Saccharomyces cerevisiae S288C: one gene and its partners. The gene in region 1 interacts genetically with each later gene. Each region holds a gene or a part of one and is shown in the gene's direction. Other genes may lie near its edges. The genes, in order: MAS2, FAA2, ARO10 and RMD6.

What was found.
Region 2: mutations in MAS2 (region 1) and FAA2 together harm fitness more than expected from each alone (negative genetic interaction), as found in Saccharomyces cerevisiae (one large-scale study listed by BioGRID).
Region 3: mutations in MAS2 (region 1) and ARO10 together harm fitness more than expected from each alone (negative genetic interaction), as found in Saccharomyces cerevisiae (one large-scale study listed by BioGRID).
Region 4: mutations in MAS2 (region 1) and RMD6 together harm fitness more than expected from each alone (negative genetic interaction), as found in Saccharomyces cerevisiae (one large-scale study listed by BioGRID).

Annotation. Positions count from the first base shown.
Region 1 is NC_001140.6:156,141-160,828, reverse strand, and holds MAS2 (mitochondrial-processing protease subunit alpha), read left to right. Parts: upstream 1-1,636; coding exon 1,637-3,085; downstream 3,086-4,688. Other genes in the region: THR1 (homoserine kinase), read right to left, coding at 318-1,391; MYO1 (myosin 1), read right to left, coding at 3,377-4,688.
Region 2 is NC_001137.3:182,793-188,035, forward strand, and holds FAA2 (medium-chain fatty acid-CoA ligase FAA2), read left to right. Parts: upstream 1-1,748; coding exon 1,749-3,983; downstream 3,984-5,243. Other genes in the region: HEM14 (oxygen-dependent protoporphyrinogen oxidase), read left to right, coding at 1-1,427; BUD25 (Bud25p), read right to left, coding at 939-1,377, 1,886-1,908.
Region 3 is NC_001136.10:1,231,861-1,237,353, forward strand, and holds ARO10 (phenylpyruvate decarboxylase ARO10), read left to right. Parts: upstream 1-2,357; coding exon 2,358-4,265; downstream 4,266-5,493. Other genes in the region: GTPase-activating protein RGA2, read left to right, coding at 1-1,336; SDH6 (Sdh6p), read right to left, coding at 1,418-1,657; RNA-binding protein YRA1, read left to right, coding at 4,698-4,982. UniProt on the Saccharomyces cerevisiae protein: One of five 2-oxo acid decarboxylases (PDC1, PDC5, PDC6, ARO10, and THI3) involved in amino acid catabolism.
Region 4 is NC_001137.3:11,613-15,644, forward strand, and holds RMD6 (Rmd6p), read left to right. Parts: upstream 1-2,107; coding exon 2,108-2,803; downstream 2,804-4,032. UniProt on the Saccharomyces cerevisiae protein: Required for sporulation. Required for meiotic nuclear division.

The DNA of each region.
Region 1 (4,688 bases):
AGCTCCTGTATTTTATTCGCCTTCCGGTGAGAAAAAAAACACCTGTGGATATTACGTTGAATGATACTTGTGGCTAAATCAATCAACTGGCCTTGGCTATGAGTCTTTTGAATTGAGACTGAAAACAACTTCGATTCATTATCTGTATTGTTAATGGTTGTGAAATTTCGTTCTTTTCACTTATTTTTTATTTTCGAAATAGATAGAAAAGACGGGTAACGGAAGAAGACTCAGCATAATAACCGTTAACGGTCAATTACAGTATGTATATGGTCTACAATAGTATTTAACACAGTATACTAGGGGTAAAGGACATTTCATTGCTGTTCGACGCTAGCACCATCGTAGGCAGGCTCCAGTAGTTTCCAGGAGCACTTGATGCCGTTTTTGGCGAACCTGTTGATAATTTCTTGAGAGATTTCTTCGAAATTCTCAGTGGCCAAAGCCAAGATAGTTGGGCCTGCACCTGACAAGCAGATACCCAATAGGCCAGGGTATGTGGATGGGGTGACACATGATAAGATTTCCGTGAGACCTGGGATCAATGTCTTTCTATAAGGTTGGTGGACACGATCTTGCATAGCAGGGTAGATTAAGTCGGCATTAGGTGGGTCCATGGTCAAAGCTGTGGTCAAGACGGCCAATCTTTGTAGATTGAAAACCAAGTCCTGGGTTGGGTAGGCTTTTGGAAGAACGCCTCTGGAGTCGGCGGTGGACAACTCGAACTGTGGGATGATCGCAATACATTTAATGGCGGGGTTCCATTGGTATTTGACATGTCTACCGATATCGGTGGGAGGTAATGGGGGAACCAGACCGGTATCTTCACCACCAGAAGGTTCTGGAAGCACCTCAGCCAATGGAATCTCACGTCTTTCCACCTCTTGTGGGGTCAAGTCCCTTAGGAATGAACCGCAAAAGCCTCCCATCATAGCAGCGGTTATGTTGTCTGGATGACGTTCAATCATCAAACAGTAGTCCAACATACGTTGCTTAGAGAAACCCAATTGGGCCACTTCGTTACCTAAAATAACACCTGCCACAACTGCTGCACCAGAGGAACCCAATCCACGGCCAAGTGGGATTGGGTTGGAGACGTGAACTTTGGTTCCGGAGGGGAAGTTTCTAATATTGTTGCAACGCAACACATATAACGCAGTCCTGGTAATCAGGTTAGCATCAGAACGCAATGGGACCGTAGAATAGCCTTCACTTTCTTTAGTGTAAGACAGCTTGCAGTTGTTGGGATCGTCGTTTGTTTCCTGAGCTTGGCTGGAGTCGATGGTGACATCTAACTCCAAGAATAGAGAAAGACCGACACCAAGAACATCATAACCAGGGCCGATATTGGCGGAAGAAGCTGGAACTTTAATTTTGAAGGCACGAACCATTTTCTGTAGTCCGTATATCTACTTTATGCTACTGTTATAACCATTAGGCAGGTTAGAAGTACACTTGTTTTTATCACCATATCTTTTCGAGATGATGACTCTTGCACAAATTTTTCATCCGGCGTGAGGGCGTATCGAGAATGAACAATTCAGGTGAAAAAGCCTACACAGGTGGACTAGAAGAAAGGTGTTTCAGGGCAGGTGGTCAAATTAATGCAAAGCAGAGAGCTGATTAATAACAAAAGATGCTAAGGAACGGCGTTCAGAGGTTGTACTCTAACATCGCTAGAACCGATAATTTTAAGCTTTCGTCACTAGCGAATGGACTGAAAGTGGCGACATCAAATACTCCTGGACACTTTAGTGCCTTAGGCCTATACATCGACGCAGGATCACGGTTTGAAGGTAGGAATTTGAAGGGTTGTACACATATCTTGGATAGACTAGCATTCAAATCAACCGAACACGTCGAGGGCCGAGCAATGGCAGAGACGTTGGAGTTACTGGGTGGGAATTACCAGTGTACCTCGTCTAGAGAAAATTTGATGTATCAGGCTTCTGTGTTCAACCAGGATGTGGGTAAAATGCTTCAATTAATGTCAGAAACTGTGAGGTTCCCTAAGATTACTGAGCAAGAACTGCAAGAACAGAAGCTGTCGGCAGAGTATGAAATCGATGAAGTTTGGATGAAGCCAGAATTGGTATTACCTGAGCTGTTGCACACAGCAGCATACTCCGGAGAAACTTTGGGGTCCCCTTTAATCTGCCCTAGAGAGCTCATTCCTTCTATTTCTAAATACTACTTATTGGACTACAGAAATAAATTCTACACCCCAGAAAATACTGTTGCGGCATTTGTTGGTGTTCCTCACGAAAAGGCATTAGAGCTTACAGAAAAGTATCTCGGTGACTGGCAATCTACACACCCTCCGATCACCAAAAAAGTTGCCCAATATACGGGCGGGGAAAGTTGTATTCCACCAGCACCAGTGTTTGGGAATTTACCAGAATTATTCCACATCCAGATCGGATTTGAAGGTCTCCCTATAGATCATCCAGACATTTATGCTTTAGCAACATTACAAACTTTACTTGGAGGTGGTGGTTCTTTCAGTGCTGGTGGGCCAGGAAAGGGGATGTATTCTCGTTTGTATACCCACGTTTTGAACCAGTATTACTTTGTTGAAAATTGTGTTGCGTTCAACCATTCTTATTCGGATTCTGGTATTTTCGGTATTTCATTATCTTGTATACCGCAGGCAGCTCCTCAAGCGGTTGAGGTAATTGCACAGCAAATGTATAATACATTTGCTAATAAGGATTTGAGGTTAACTGAAGACGAAGTCTCCAGGGCCAAGAATCAGTTGAAGTCTTCACTACTAATGAACCTAGAGTCTAAACTGGTAGAATTGGAAGATATGGGCAGACAAGTTCTCATGCATGGTCGCAAAATCCCAGTCAACGAAATGATAAGTAAGATCGAAGATTTGAAGCCAGATGATATCTCACGTGTTGCCGAAATGATATTTACGGGAAATGTAAATAATGCTGGCAATGGTAAGGGTAGAGCTACTGTTGTAATGCAAGGAGACAGAGGATCCTTTGGAGATGTGGAAAATGTACTGAAGGCATATGGATTGGGTAACAGCTCCTCCTCCAAAAACGATAGTCCCAAGAAGAAGGGTTGGTTTTGAACAACTTTAGCAGTACTTTATTACTTTTATTTTGGAGATTTCAAGATAGGAAAAAGACTTTATTTCCGCTGCTTATCTATTGAATCGGTTATTTTCTTTATTTTATGTACCACCTTTAAGACTACTATCGAAGGATACGGGGTGAAAGAGTTCATGCCACTTAGTATATAACGCTCGTGTCGTCTTTTTCTGTTAATAATGCATATTCTCATTCTGTATATACAAAACATCTCATCATTATTTTTTTAAATAAAGGATATAAAGTCTTCCAAATTTTTAAAAAAAAGTTCGTTAACTGAAAATTTTACTCTGTGCATTGTTACTATCAATATTTTTCGAGCCTATCATGGTAGATTCATAACGGCTTTTCCAGAATTCAATTTCTTGGGCCATTTCCTGCACTTTGTCGCGGTAAGAAGAATTATCTCTAATGGATTTTTTCATCTCAAGCTCTTGTTGAGAAATGTACTTTTCTAAGTCAGAGATTTGAGCCTCATATTTCAAAGTAGCTTCCTCAAATTCGCTTCTATTTTTATTCGCTAGTTCTATTACATCTGTTTGTTGGGAGTTCTTAGTTTGTAACTCTTCCACTGCTCTCTCCAAACTCTTGTTCTTTTTCATTTCTTCATATTTCAAGTCCGTTTCTAGGCTTACCATATTTTCCAATTCATGAATCTTTGATAACCATGCGTTTTTTTCAGTAGTGTCTGATAATCTTTCATGCAAATTTTTTAGTTGAAGCTGTAAGTCGGTGTTGAGCTTTTGTAAAGTTTGATTTTCTTCATATAAATCAATATTCTTCTGCTTCTCATCATCAAACTTATCTTTATATCCATTGCAGCTGGCCTGTAATGTCTTAACCAACTCCCCATTCCTTGAATTTTGTTCCATTTGCAGTTGTAGTGTTTCCTCCAGATATTTGATTTTTTCAGTAATCTCTTTATTCTTTTGTGTGGAACTTGAGAGTGCTGCGTTTGATATCTGTAGCGCATCAGTCTTTTGATTTAAGTCAGATTCCAGTTCCTGCTTGATTTTAGTCAAAGACACTATCTTTCCTTTAAGAGACTCGCATTCAGTATTGAGTGCCTCGTATTTCTGATAAAGTTCTTTTTCTGCAAGAGAAATAGCATCTTTTTCGTTGTTCAACATTTCCACCACTTTTGTATAATGATCGAGCTGCTTCAGCAGATCGGAGATTTTTGCTTCAGAATCATTAGTCGAAGTTTCCAGTTTGTACTTAAGGGTTGCAAATTCTTTTTTTAAGTTTGTTTCAGCTTTTAAAGAGCAGTTCAATTCTTCCTTTAATCTATTAATCTCATCCGTATATTGGGATCTATCTTCTACAGCGCTCAATCGCTCCTTTAAATGGGCCAAATCATCACTCAGGATTTTCTTTACATCTTGGACTCTCTTCAACTCCAGCAGAGTTTCCTGTAATTGCATATCTGAGTCATTTCTTTCCATTTCGCGCTCCCAGATTAACTTTTCCTTTTGCTTATTTTGAGTTTTCAATTTTTCAATGATAGACGCCATATTCTTTACGTCCTCTTCAGCTTGTTTTAGTGCATGAATATGTTCTCTTAGCCGCAGTTCATTCCCTTGC
Region 2 (5,243 bases), on another chromosome or scaffold:
TTATGTTGGAGAAGGGACCCAGAACATTGAGGGGCGTATCAGACGGGACCGTTCTGATTATGGATACCCTTAAAGACTTGGGCAAGGAAGCAGTTATTCAAAGCATTGATAAAGGTTGCATTGCAGACAAAAAGTTTCTACTAGACCCCAGTGATAAACTCGTGCAGGTTCCTAATTCGATATCTACAACAGTAAAATTTCTGCTGAATCCGTTGGGAAAAGGACTCATCACGGGTATGATGGGAGAATGGTTCAGAAAAAAATCTCCACATCCTGGCCAAGACGAAAGTGTCGAATCCATTTGTGACAGAAGGTTTGGGAATAACTACATATCAAACAATATGATCAGTGCCTTACTAAGAGGTATCTATGGGGATGACGTTTCCCTATTAAGTGCCAAGAGAACGTTTAAGAAAATATACTACAATGAACTAAAGCACGGATCTAACACACAAGCTATGATTGATAATATGCGCGGAAAGTCAAGAAGTAAAAAAACTGAGAACCTGCACCAATCTTTAACTGGCTGCCTTAACGACTACTCAAATGCGTTTGGAAAAGACAGGTCAAAGTTATTAGACTTATCCAACACGCTAAAGAAATATCCCATGTTGGGTCTTGCTGGGGGACTAGAAACGTTTCCCAAGATAGTCAGAAATGCTTTGAACGAATTTAAAAACGTCAAAATAGTTACTGGGAACCCGGTTACGCAAATAATGAAACGCCCTGCTAACGAAACGACAATCGGATTGAAAGCGAAATCTGGCGACCAATACGAAACATTTGACCATTTAAGACTTACGATAACACCTCCCAAAATCGCTAAATTGCTACCGAAGGATCAAAATTCATTATCCAAGTTATTAGATGAGATACAATCAAACACAATAATTTTAGTTAATTATTATTTGCCAAACAAAGATGTAATAGATGCCGATCTACAAGGCTTTGGATACTTGGTTCCCAAATCCAATAAGAATCCAGGGAAATTGCTTGGTGTAATTTTCGATTCTGTTATCGAAAGGAATTTCAAACCACTTTTTGACAAACTCTCCACAAACCCAAACGCCCTCAACAAATATACAAAAGTGACTGCGATGATAGGAGGTTGTATGCTCAATGAACACGGTGTTCCTGTAGTGCCATCCAGGGAGGTAACCATTAATGCAGTCAAAGATGCGCTGAACAACCACCTCGGCATCAGTAACAAGGATCTGGAAGCTGGTCAGTGGGAATTCACTATCGCCGATAGATGTCTGCCAAGATTTCATGTAGGTTATGACGCATGGCAAGAAAGAGCTGAAAGGAAGTTGCAAGAATCTTACGGCCAAACAGTTTCTGTGGGGGGAATGGGATTTTCTAGAAGTCCCGGTGTCCCTGACGTTATTGTAGACGGCTTTAACGACGCCTTACAGCTAAGCAAATAAGTACGTATATATATGGTTAGCTTTACGCAAACTACTTCTTTTGACAATTGAGGCAGTTATCAGCTAATAAGAAAAAGTAGTTAGTATCAAAAGACACAATTTATTTATATTAACCAAATTTTTCAGAACATCCTCCGGACCGTCAGTCTTTAACGCCGAGCCGCCGATGATGGGTTGGAGTCAAAACGAGGGAACTCAATATTAATTGCGGAGTTGAGCGATGATGGGTTGGAACTATATAAAGCATCGGAAACGCATGGCTAAGGGAAGTGGAAGAATGCAGGTTACAAAAAACGGATAAGAACAAACTTGTTTCGAAATATGGCCGCTCCAGATTATGCACTTACCGATTTAATTGAATCGGATCCTCGTTTCGAAAGTTTGAAGACAAGATTAGCCGGTTACACCAAAGGCTCTGATGAATATATTGAAGAGCTATACTCTCAATTACCACTGACCAGCTATCCCAGGTACAAAACATTTTTAAAGAAACAGGCGGTTGCCATTTCGAATCCGGATAATGAAGCTGGTTTTAGCTCGATTTATAGGAGTTCTCTTTCTTCTGAAAATCTAGTGAGCTGTGTGGATAAAAACTTAAGAACTGCATACGATCACTTCATGTTTTCTGCAAGGAGATGGCCTCAACGTGACTGTTTAGGTTCAAGGCCAATTGATAAAGCCACAGGCACCTGGGAGGAAACATTCCGTTTCGAGTCGTACTCCACGGTATCTAAAAGATGTCATAATATCGGAAGTGGTATATTGTCTTTGGTAAACACGAAAAGGAAACGTCCTTTGGAAGCCAATGATTTTGTTGTTGCTATCTTATCACACAACAACCCTGAATGGATCCTAACAGATTTGGCCTGTCAGGCCTATTCTCTAACTAACACGGCTTTGTACGAAACATTAGGTCCAAACACCTCCGAGTACATATTGAATTTAACCGAGGCCCCCATTCTGATTTTTGCAAAATCAAATATGTATCATGTATTGAAGATGGTGCCTGATATGAAATTTGTTAATACTTTGGTTTGTATGGATGAATTAACTCATGACGAGCTCCGTATGCTAAATGAATCGTTGCTACCCGTTAAGTGCAACTCTCTCAATGAAAAAATCACATTTTTTTCATTGGAGCAGGTAGAACAAGTTGGTTGCTTTAACAAAATTCCTGCAATTCCACCTACCCCAGATTCCTTGTATACTATTTCGTTTACTTCTGGTACTACAGGTTTACCTAAAGGTGTGGAAATGTCTCACAGAAACATTGCGTCTGGGATAGCATTTGCTTTTTCTACCTTCAGAATACCGCCAGATAAAAGAAACCAACAGTTATATGATATGTGTTTTTTGCCATTGGCTCATATTTTTGAAAGAATGGTTATTGCGTATGATCTAGCCATCGGGTTTGGAATAGGCTTCTTACATAAACCAGACCCAACTGTATTGGTAGAGGATTTGAAGATTTTGAAACCTTACGCGGTTGCCCTGGTTCCTAGAATATTAACACGGTTTGAAGCCGGTATAAAAAACGCTTTGGATAAATCGACTGTCCAGAGGAACGTAGCAAATACTATATTGGATTCTAAATCGGCCAGATTTACCGCAAGAGGTGGTCCAGATAAATCGATTATGAATTTTCTAGTTTATCATCGCGTATTGATTGATAAAATCAGAGACTCTTTAGGTTTGTCCAATAACTCGTTTATAATTACCGGATCAGCTCCCATATCTAAAGATACCTTACTATTTTTAAGAAGTGCCTTGGATATTGGTATAAGACAGGGCTACGGCTTAACTGAAACTTTTGCTGGTGTCTGTTTAAGCGAACCGTTTGAAAAAGATGTCGGATCTTGTGGTGCCATAGGTATTTCTGCAGAATGTAGATTGAAGTCTGTTCCAGAAATGGGTTACCATGCCGACAAGGATTTAAAAGGTGAACTGCAAATTCGTGGCCCACAGGTTTTTGAAAGATATTTTAAAAATCCGAATGAAACTTCAAAAGCCGTTGACCAAGATGGTTGGTTTTCCACGGGAGATGTTGCATTTATCGATGGAAAAGGTCGCATCAGCGTCATTGATCGAGTCAAGAACTTTTTCAAGCTAGCACATGGTGAATATATTGCTCCAGAGAAAATCGAAAATATTTATTTATCATCATGCCCCTATATCACGCAAATATTTGTCTTTGGAGATCCTTTAAAGACATTTTTAGTTGGCATCGTTGGTGTTGATGTTGATGCAGCGCAACCGATTTTAGCTGCAAAGCACCCAGAGGTGAAAACGTGGACTAAGGAAGTGCTAGTAGAAAACTTAAATCGTAATAAAAAGCTAAGGAAGGAATTTTTAAACAAAATTAATAAATGCACCGATGGGCTACAAGGATTCGAAAAATTGCATAACATCAAAGTCGGACTTGAGCCTTTAACTCTCGAGGATGATGTTGTGACGCCAACTTTTAAAATAAAGCGTGCCAAAGCATCAAAATTCTTCAAAGATACATTAGACCAACTATACGCCGAAGGTTCACTAGTCAAGACAGAAAAGCTTTAGGTACTTATGACGATTTGGAACACATTCAAACTAGAAAAAACTTTGATGTAGGATATCCCTATGCACATCCATACGGTATACATAGTGAACGCTCACTGTGTATAATGGACTAACAGTAGTTATAAACCTGCTTTCGTTACTACAGCACACAAGACTATTGTACTTTGTTAAAGAACTATAAGATTAAAGACATACATAATTCCAACTATTTATACCATTAAATATTCTTCTTAAGCTTTTTTTCGCGGCTTTCTATAATATATGAGGATCAATTAGTGAAAGCAATGCTCTCTATGTTGGAACCACAGTGTAGATACTGCACTTTCATAAAGCGCTAGATATAGCTGGTCAATCTAGCGGAGTACATGGGTCACAGTTACCATTCTCGTAACTTGACTTGGTGCACTACGGGTCAAGATGATTGAAAACGGCTCCCACAACTTCAACTGAGGTCTGTTTCAGATGGAGGTGCAGTGTTTTCCATGTAGTGAGCCCTGATATCGGGGCGTAATCACCTAACTCAGCAAAGGTAAACCTTTCTCATCTGACGGAGATAAAGTGATAGTAATCGGGGATGCGGCGACAGAGATTGAAGTTAATTTGACCATTGAATAGTTGCTTATATATGATAGACTTAGCTAAAAGAAAATAATGAAGGCGTACCCCATATCGCTGATCAGAGAAATCCATGTAGATAGAATTTCTGTCTCCGCTAAAACTGCATGAGCGACTGACTGAAGCTCTACTCATTCAAAAATTATCCCTCTTCACTTCCCGTATTCACACTTGTTGCCACTATGGACATGCTCTCTTTGAAAAATGTAGTCTCACCCACAGAAAAGAAAAGATCATTTGAAAATAAGATATCCTGGGAAACCCGCTTGAATTATTCCAGTGTTTCTACCTAAAGAAAAATCACGCAACCAGAAACAGATTTCGTCTGGGTTCGTTCAACAACTCTTTGCTTAAGATTTAATTAGCATATGCTAAATCGCCATTAGGAGCAAAACCAGGGCTTCTAACGATTTCCAATAAAGAAGATACGGAACTTTTCATGTGTTGACAACAACATTACAGGGATTTTTTCAGACTTTCATGTTACCGGTCAATCTGCTGATGCATACATACAGGTATAAAGAACACTTTGCCTAGAACAATAAAGAAAAGTCAAAGACATCTGAGAGGCATCTTCTTACCTGAAAGAGACGCCTTGTATCTTCTATAGGTCAACTAGAGTAGGTGTTCCGGAAACCTGAATGA
Region 3 (5,493 bases), on another chromosome or scaffold:
ATCAGGGCCATTATTTAAGAGGCCATCTCTGTCATCTGAGTCCGCACACCACAGATCTTCTAGCTTACAGACGTCTAGATCCACTAATGCATTGTTGGAAGACGATTCCACGAAAGTGGATGCTACTGATGAAAGCGCTACAAGCTTGGAAAAGGACTTTTACTTTACTGAGTTGACTTTAAGGAAGTTAAAATTAGATGTGAGGGAACTAGAAGGTACGAAGAAAAAATTATTACAAGATGTTGAAAATCTAAGATTAGCGAAAGAGAGGCTGTTAAATGATGTTGACAATTTAACAAGAGAAAAGGATAAGCAATCTGCATCTTCCCGGGAGTCCTTAGAACAAAAAGAAAACATTGCAACATCAATCACTGTAAAGTCACCAAGTTCAAATTCCGACAGAAAAGGGAGCATATCTAATGCCAGTCCTAAACCACGCTTCTGGAAAATATTTTCAAGTGCTAAGGATCACCAGGTAGGCGATCTAGAATCACAGCAACGTTCGCCAAATTCATCTTCAGGCGGAACGACAAATATAGCACAGAAAGAAATATCATCACCGAAATTAATTCGAGTACACGATGAGCTTCCTTCTCCAGGCAAAGTACCACTGTCGCCAAGTCCAAAGAGATTAGATTATACGCCTGATGGTTCCCATTTATATGGATCTTCGCTACAAGCTCGATGTGCGTATGAAAAAAGTACTGTTCCAATAATTATCAGGTGCTGCATTGATCGCATTGAAAAAGATGATATAGGCCTGAACATGGAAGGCTTATACAGAAAGTCGGGCTCACAGACTTTGGTTGAGGAGATCGAAAATGAATTCGCTCAGAATAATTCGTTGCATAGTGATACATTAAGTCCCAAACTGAATGCTTTACTGAATCAAGATATTCATGCAGTGGCTAGCGTATTAAAACGATATTTGAGAAAACTACCAGATCCAGTTTTATCATTTTCCATATACGATGCCTTGATAGATCTAGTTAGAAATAACCAACTAATTGAGAGGCTACCATTAAACAACGACAAGTTTTTGGATTCACCACAAAAAGTGACTATTTATGAAATGGTGCTCAAAAGCCTACTTGAAATTTTCAAAATTTTACCCGTAGAGCATCAGGAAGTATTGAAAGTATTGGCAGCACATATCGGCAAAGTTCGAAGGTGCAGTGAAAGAAATTTAATGAACTTACATAACTTGTCGTTGGTCTTTGCACCGAGTCTTATCCACGATTTTGACGGCGAGAAAGATATTGTGGACATGAAGGAGAGGAATTATATCGTGGAATTTATACTTGGAAACTATAGAGACATATTTAAGCAAGCATAATACAGATTTGCAAAAGTTAAATAAACATAGGATAGATTAAATAAGAAATCATATGAAAAAAGAATAAAGTAAGAAAATAGTTCAATGTATATTCGTCAGTTCAGGGTGTGAAAAGGTGGCAATTTTTTTGTTTCCGACCCGTAACAAGTGTTCAATGGTGGTGAAGTCTTTTCTTGGCAAATTTCTATACTTCCCAAATTCTTCATGAATATAATTCACAAAATTAACTTGGTTTTCCTTTGGTTTTGTATGAGCCGTTCGTATGGAAGCCCTATACAGGTGTAAGACTTCTTTTTGTAACCCACTTAATCTCTTAGGCATGCTCTTGGTATTGCGTCTCCTCTTCTTCTTGTGTGTTTAAGCTACATTATCTTTGTTAAGAATAATTTGGCGAACCCCTTTTTTTCTTCGGCTTTGCAAGGTTAATTAATTAACATCTACCAGTTTTACTACATTTTAGATTGGTTCGTCCACCGAAATTTAAAAAAGCAGGATTGAAAGCGTACAACAACGTCTTAGCGAAAAAGATAATCCAAAATTCGATGCTTGTACACCTCATGTAGCTTCCTTATTAACATTTGGTAGTAGGCTTAGGCTATTTTTTGAAAAAGCCGTCATATATTACTTTGAGCCTTTGCGAATCCTCTCCAAAGTGTCGGTTACCTACCGGGAGGGATAACCGCGGATAGCCGTCATTTACCGAAAATTGCCGAGGTCATGCTGAGCATTTGTCGTACTTTTGTGCGGCGGAGCTTTGATACCTTCGGTAAGTGTCGGTATGTAATAGGTTAGTGGCATCTTATTTATTGTGTTGAGTAAAGTTTAAGATATAAACTGGGCTAGTTTGCATCGTCACTACAGCGGCAGCTCACTTTCATTTTTTTTCTGCGTTTATTAATACTACATAAAATCTGATATAAAACATATTTAACTGATCAACCCTCTCAACTTGATACTCAAAACAAGTTGACGCGACTTCTGTAAAGTTTATTTACAAGATAACAAAGAAACTCCCTTAAGCATGGCACCTGTTACAATTGAAAAGTTCGTAAATCAAGAAGAACGACACCTTGTTTCCAACCGATCAGCAACAATTCCGTTTGGTGAATACATATTTAAAAGATTGTTGTCCATCGATACGAAATCAGTTTTCGGTGTTCCTGGTGACTTCAACTTATCTCTATTAGAATATCTCTATTCACCTAGTGTTGAATCAGCTGGCCTAAGATGGGTCGGCACGTGTAATGAACTGAACGCCGCTTATGCGGCCGACGGATATTCCCGTTACTCTAATAAGATTGGCTGTTTAATAACCACGTATGGCGTTGGTGAATTAAGCGCCTTGAACGGTATAGCCGGTTCGTTCGCTGAAAATGTCAAAGTTTTGCACATTGTTGGTGTGGCCAAGTCCATAGATTCGCGTTCAAGTAACTTTAGTGATCGGAACCTACATCATTTGGTCCCACAGCTACATGATTCAAATTTTAAAGGGCCAAATCATAAAGTATATCATGATATGGTAAAAGATAGAGTCGCTTGCTCGGTAGCCTACTTGGAGGATATTGAAACTGCATGTGACCAAGTCGATAATGTTATCCGCGATATTTACAAGTATTCTAAACCTGGTTATATTTTTGTTCCTGCAGATTTTGCGGATATGTCTGTTACATGTGATAATTTGGTTAATGTTCCACGTATATCTCAACAAGATTGTATAGTATACCCTTCTGAAAACCAATTGTCTGACATAATCAACAAGATTACTAGTTGGATATATTCCAGTAAAACACCTGCGATCCTTGGAGACGTACTGACTGATAGGTATGGTGTGAGTAACTTTTTGAACAAGCTTATCTGCAAAACTGGGATTTGGAATTTTTCCACTGTTATGGGAAAATCTGTAATTGATGAGTCAAACCCAACTTATATGGGTCAATATAATGGTAAAGAAGGTTTAAAACAAGTCTATGAACATTTTGAACTGTGCGACTTGGTCTTGCATTTTGGAGTCGACATCAATGAAATTAATAATGGGCATTATACTTTTACTTATAAACCAAATGCTAAAATCATTCAATTTCATCCGAATTATATTCGCCTTGTGGACACTAGGCAGGGCAATGAGCAAATGTTCAAAGGAATCAATTTTGCCCCTATTTTAAAAGAACTATACAAGCGCATTGACGTTTCTAAACTTTCTTTGCAATATGATTCAAATGTAACTCAATATACGAACGAAACAATGCGGTTAGAAGATCCTACCAATGGACAATCAAGCATTATTACACAAGTTCACTTACAAAAGACGATGCCTAAATTTTTGAACCCTGGTGATGTTGTCGTTTGTGAAACAGGCTCTTTTCAATTCTCTGTTCGTGATTTCGCGTTTCCTTCGCAATTAAAATATATATCGCAAGGATTTTTCCTTTCCATTGGCATGGCCCTTCCTGCCGCCCTAGGTGTTGGAATTGCCATGCAAGACCACTCAAACGCTCACATCAATGGTGGCAACGTAAAAGAGGACTATAAGCCAAGATTAATTTTGTTTGAAGGTGACGGTGCAGCACAGATGACAATCCAAGAACTGAGCACCATTCTGAAGTGCAATATTCCACTAGAAGTTATCATTTGGAACAATAACGGCTACACTATTGAAAGAGCCATCATGGGCCCTACCAGGTCGTATAACGACGTTATGTCTTGGAAATGGACCAAACTATTTGAAGCATTCGGAGACTTCGACGGAAAGTATACTAATAGCACTCTCATTCAATGTCCCTCTAAATTAGCACTGAAATTGGAGGAGCTTAAGAATTCAAACAAAAGAAGCGGGATAGAACTTTTAGAAGTCAAATTAGGCGAATTGGATTTCCCCGAACAGCTAAAGTGCATGGTTGAAGCAGCGGCACTTAAAAGAAATAAAAAATAGAAACTTGTGGGCGCAATTATAAAACACTGCTACCAATTGTTCGTTTTCTGTTCATTAACACATAAAAAACCCTTATGTAACTATATTTACAAAGTAAATACGTATATTAAAGCTATTTTACCACTACCACAGAGTTCTTTGTCCAGTTGCTAGTATTTTTTTTTTCGCGACGAGGCAGGGGCGGGGAGACGTGTTGTTTTTCCACGGCTTTCGGCTCACCACTTGAAGAACTATAAAAGGCCGCCAAATTTATCCTTTTTCACTTCTTCCGTTCGCTTTTTTCTGTCATTCCTATCGTGTGTTTAGTAGTAGGTTTTTTTGTTAGAAGAAGTTTTATCCGAAAACTATCGAAGACAAATAGATAAAAAAATCTCCCTCGTTCTATTTGAAACTTTAAGAAATCCATATTAAGAAAATACCTACATCTGCTAAATGTCTGCTAACTTAGATAAATCCTTAGACGAAATCATTGGCTCTAACAAAGCAGGAAGTAATAGAGCCCGTGTCGGTGGTACTCGTGGTAACGGTCCAAGAAGAGTTGGTAAGCAAGTTGGTAGCCAACGTAGGAGCCTTCCAAACAGAAGAGGCCCTATCAGAAAAAATACTAGGGCACCTCCAAACGCAGTCGCTAGAGTTGCCAAGCTCTTGGACACCACTAGAGAGGTCAAGGTCAACGTCGAAGGTTTGCCAAGGGACATTAAGCAGGATGCTGTAAGAGTATGTTAATACGTGAAATGAGAGCTATTTGTTTAGTTACTCGCATCGTCTCGTGTGGATACGAGAAATATTCTTTGTAAGGAAGGATATGGCACACGCTTTTGATCAAGAATTCTCTTTTTAGAGATGAAGAAAGAGTCCGAAATACTTCGCTAGAGAAAATACAAAAAGAGTATCGTTTTCATAAGCCAACCATACCAATTTTTTTCAATACTTCAAATCATGGCCTATAAGGTTGGAATTACCAGCTACCACTGAGAATGGGTTTGTTCTTATTGGCTGGGTTAACTCAAATCAATCTGACTATCTGCTAATCTGTCAATCTTACATTTTTAAGCTGGCGTATTGTGTCGCCTCGACCGTGATAGTTAGTTCCTATTTTTAATAAGCGTATCATCCAATACTGAAGTTGTGGAAGGATCAATTAATTTTGTATCCTTTCAAGAGGGAGTAGCTTTCAGTTTCGAATGGCACCATTTTCAAAAAATAGCTATGGGAAACATGTCTTTCA
Region 4 (4,032 bases), on another chromosome or scaffold:
AAGTCCTAGGTTGACTTCATCTTGGATGTCTATCGCGATGCATTTAGTGTGGCATAGAATTTCTCTCTTCACGAGCAGGGAAGGAATTGTATTATATTATTTGGTAATCGCCTAGTCACAGTCATTTAGAAGAAACTTAGCATCATTATTCCAGCATCATGCACCAGAACAGGAAAATGCCATTTCTAAAAGTATTCTCATAGCCATTAAACGATTCAATACTTTTTTGGTAGCTAAGTCAATGCCTCTCTGAATATTGTATACTATATGAATAAAGTGATCCCATAATCAGACTACCCAGCACTTAGTAGCGCATTTTAGAACTAAATATATATTGCCTTTTTAATACTGTAACTTGAGAATTCTTAATAAGGAACAACAATGGTCCAGAAGGTGTTCGGTAGAAAGATAGAAAATTTTAAACCATACACTATCAAGCAATATTATACTTGTTCTTTAATCAAGAGGGGATTGTACTTTTATTTGATTTGAGGCCGGGTATCTTGATTTCACTTATGTTATACTGTCTCTTAGTTGATAAATTCAATGTTACATTTGCTATCTCATTTTCAGGTCAGCAGCTATATTGACCTTGCTTACATTCAGCGCGTGTGAGGCACTACCTTTAAAACTCTTGTGCTCCTTATTCACCATAGTCTGTTATCCGTTTGTTCTTACGGAGGAAACTGCAATTGATCATTTATGAATCTTTTAGTGAAATTTAGACACTATTAAAATTTAATAATAGGCAAAGTACGTCAATTATCATTCTTGGTTCCTGAAAAGTTGAATCTGTTATGAAGTCTGATATTTGGGGTTAGCATTGTATACTTCCCTTGAGTAATGCATTATCCGTAACGCCACTTTTACCATATTCAAGTGCAGGTATATTTAGCATTTTTTACATATAATATACTGACCTCCGAAGCTAGGTGAGAGAAAGCAAAGGTTTTGAGGGCTATTTTCACCATTGGAACTAAGATCGTACACACTAATTAACTCTCTGCCGGAGGCGCGCGATATATGGGCTGGAGCGGTCCTGACTAAAGTCCTGCTGGAATATTGGTGAAGTGTCTCAAAAAACTAGTAAGGTCAATATCAGGGAAGGAACTATTATTGGCCGAGGCGGCAGCTAGGTTAAAGAATCTAGCCGTCAATGCAACGAAGGTTATCAAGTACATTCAGTTGGATACATTAAAAAAGTTGAATACAATATCAATTCTAGAAGATTGTAGCAAGTTTGGTGAGATAGTTTACGCCTATAATATATAAGTGCTAACTCAATGTTCAGTTAGTAGAATCACAGCCTGAATATTCTGTGCATCGTTTACTCAGGGACAGATGCGATCTCAATGCAGGGACGAAAAACAGTCTTATATGCGCACGCCAGCAAAATCTTTTTTTGCGGCACCTAAGATCTCTCGCATGATAAAAGCATAATATCTTTGCCCCACAAAGTCAAGGCGTATTGGAAAAGCTACTTTAGTTAATAATGAAATGATCGCCCATCCGGGTAAAAATGGTTACAATTCCAGTGTTGATTATTGTTCGTTTTTCAGAGAGAATAATTTAGATGCTCCTATTGAAGAATATCTTGTTAGCGCATAGGGCAATCATCTACGACTTTAACCGCAACTGCGTCTGTTACCGACATTGGAGGATTGTATGCTCAAATGACCCCTGTGGTGAAGATGAACACTTCTTGCACACTATGGTTGAATCTTGACGGTACCCTCACTCAGAGTTTTATAGTATCACACGACGCTACTCTCCCGCTTGTACATTCATTCTGGCTAGTTTATAATAACGTTAAGGAAATGACACCCATACCTCTCAGAAATCCAATTGGAAATAATATTTGTAAAAGCACGTGATATTGCCTTTTTCTTTTATCTGGTTACCAATATGGGATCAATAACTTTACTTTTGAAGATCTTGTTTTTCCTTCAGATAAGAAATCAAAAAAAGAATATATGCACAAAACAGTATGGATATAATACACCTTACTCTTGGTCGTGATTGAAAACGTAAGGTTCTACATAAATTATTGAGAAAGACTTATTTGAAGATATCGAGAGTCTATCATGCCCTTTGCACAACAAAACTAATGTCAGCTTGCCCTTGCAACATCGTTATACTCCCAGTCGAGATTTTGAAGAATTCATCTAAAGATACTAAGTATAGCTTGTATACAACAATTAATCGAGGATATGATGTCCCAAGACTCAAATATGGCATCATAGTTAGCCCTCGAGTGCACAGCCTTGAGACTTTATTCAGTGATCTGGGCTTTGACAAGAATATAGAGAAATCCTCGCTTTACTTATTATTAAATGATCCTACCTTAGCATACCCTAATTTCCATGAACATTTTGAACAGCTTAAAGGTGAAACAAACAAAGATTTATCTCTACCGACATATTATATTCCGAAGGTCCAGTTTTTGACAGAGGCATTCGATTCAGAACATACCCTAGCAACCATCGGCTACAAACCAAATAATAAGGAGAGTTATGAGATCACAGGTTTTACATCCATGGGTAATGGTTATGGTATAAAACTATTCAATTACAGTGTAATTCATATGATGCGGTCTCATAAGTGTAAAAGAGTGGTTGCAGATATTATCATGGAGCATGACCTATTGGGTTACTATGAAAAGAAGCTTGGCTTTGTAGAGGTGCAAAGGTTCAAAGTTCTCAAAGAACAGCACCAAGTAAAGGTATTTGACGATAAAGTTGACTTTACCAAAGACTTTCATGTGATCAAAATGATTAAAGAGTTGGGAAATCATAGATTGTAGTGGTATAGTCCCGTACACACTCTATTTGAATAAACTGTAGGTTCTGCTGAGCAACATATTGATATAAACAGTAAAAAGAAGTGGGTTCCTTGTTTTCCTGCAATTATAACTAACCGTGCTTACTACCAAAAAAAAAGTGCGTATAAATATTCACTATTTACAATGTTGAAGGTTCCAGATGGATACAGAATAGGAATCCTAAATATAAACACTATATTTATTTATTTTTTTCGAATAAAAGTCATGTTAGCAATATTTATATAGTTGATTTTCCTGCATTTATTATATAATTGGCGGCATAGTAACATCAAAAAAAAAAAAAAAAACATTCAAATTGCACTACTTATAGCAGTAGCATCTATAAAAGTTTTATGATATAAACCTTTACAGTTATCTCAAATGGTTTTGGGATTGTCCATCAAATCAAGCGTGATTCATCTATACGTTATTATTCTCCTACAACCCCCTTAGTTTGGAGAGCGCTTAGAGAAATAAAGCATCGATGTTTTCTTACCTTCACTAAAATCAAAATAAAAAAGCTTTTCTATAGTTCACGAATTACGCAATTTATTCTATCATCCTTAAAGTTGATCAATTGCGATTTTAACACACATTTTCAAATGTCATTTTGCGCTTGTATAATAGGTGCCATCTGGACACTTTATAAAAAATAAAGGAAAAGTAAAATATAATGCTGAAAATATAGTTGCCTTAAAATGCCATTGATATGATTTTTTTTTAACCTTAAATCTATTGGCCTATAATATTCGCGGCAAAATGAGCATTTGAAAATCAGTAATAGAATGCTATCAAACTTCGTTCATGACCTTTTTAGCATCATAAGTGTTGAATCGAATCTATCAGTTCAGTAATTAAAAATACTATTTTTCTGTCAGCACAGAACGTAACGACTTTTCCTTATATCCACTATTGATTTCTCTTTAAAGTGCTATGTAAAGTACCTAAAAAACTTGTTATAGAAGTCTCATTCGAAAGCATGTGGGCTCAAAAATTGTGAATAAGATACATAGAAGGAGCCGCTGATCGACACATAATAGTAGAGTTGAACCTAGTTGGTTCAACCATTATCATAGTTATACGAATAAAGCCACAATATAAATGGCCAACCGCTGTTGTCAAACAAGACTATAGGTTCATTTTAACCTGGCGTGCAGTACGCTGGTCTTGCTAACGCCTCTACAATACGTACAGTGCAGGTTTTGACGAAT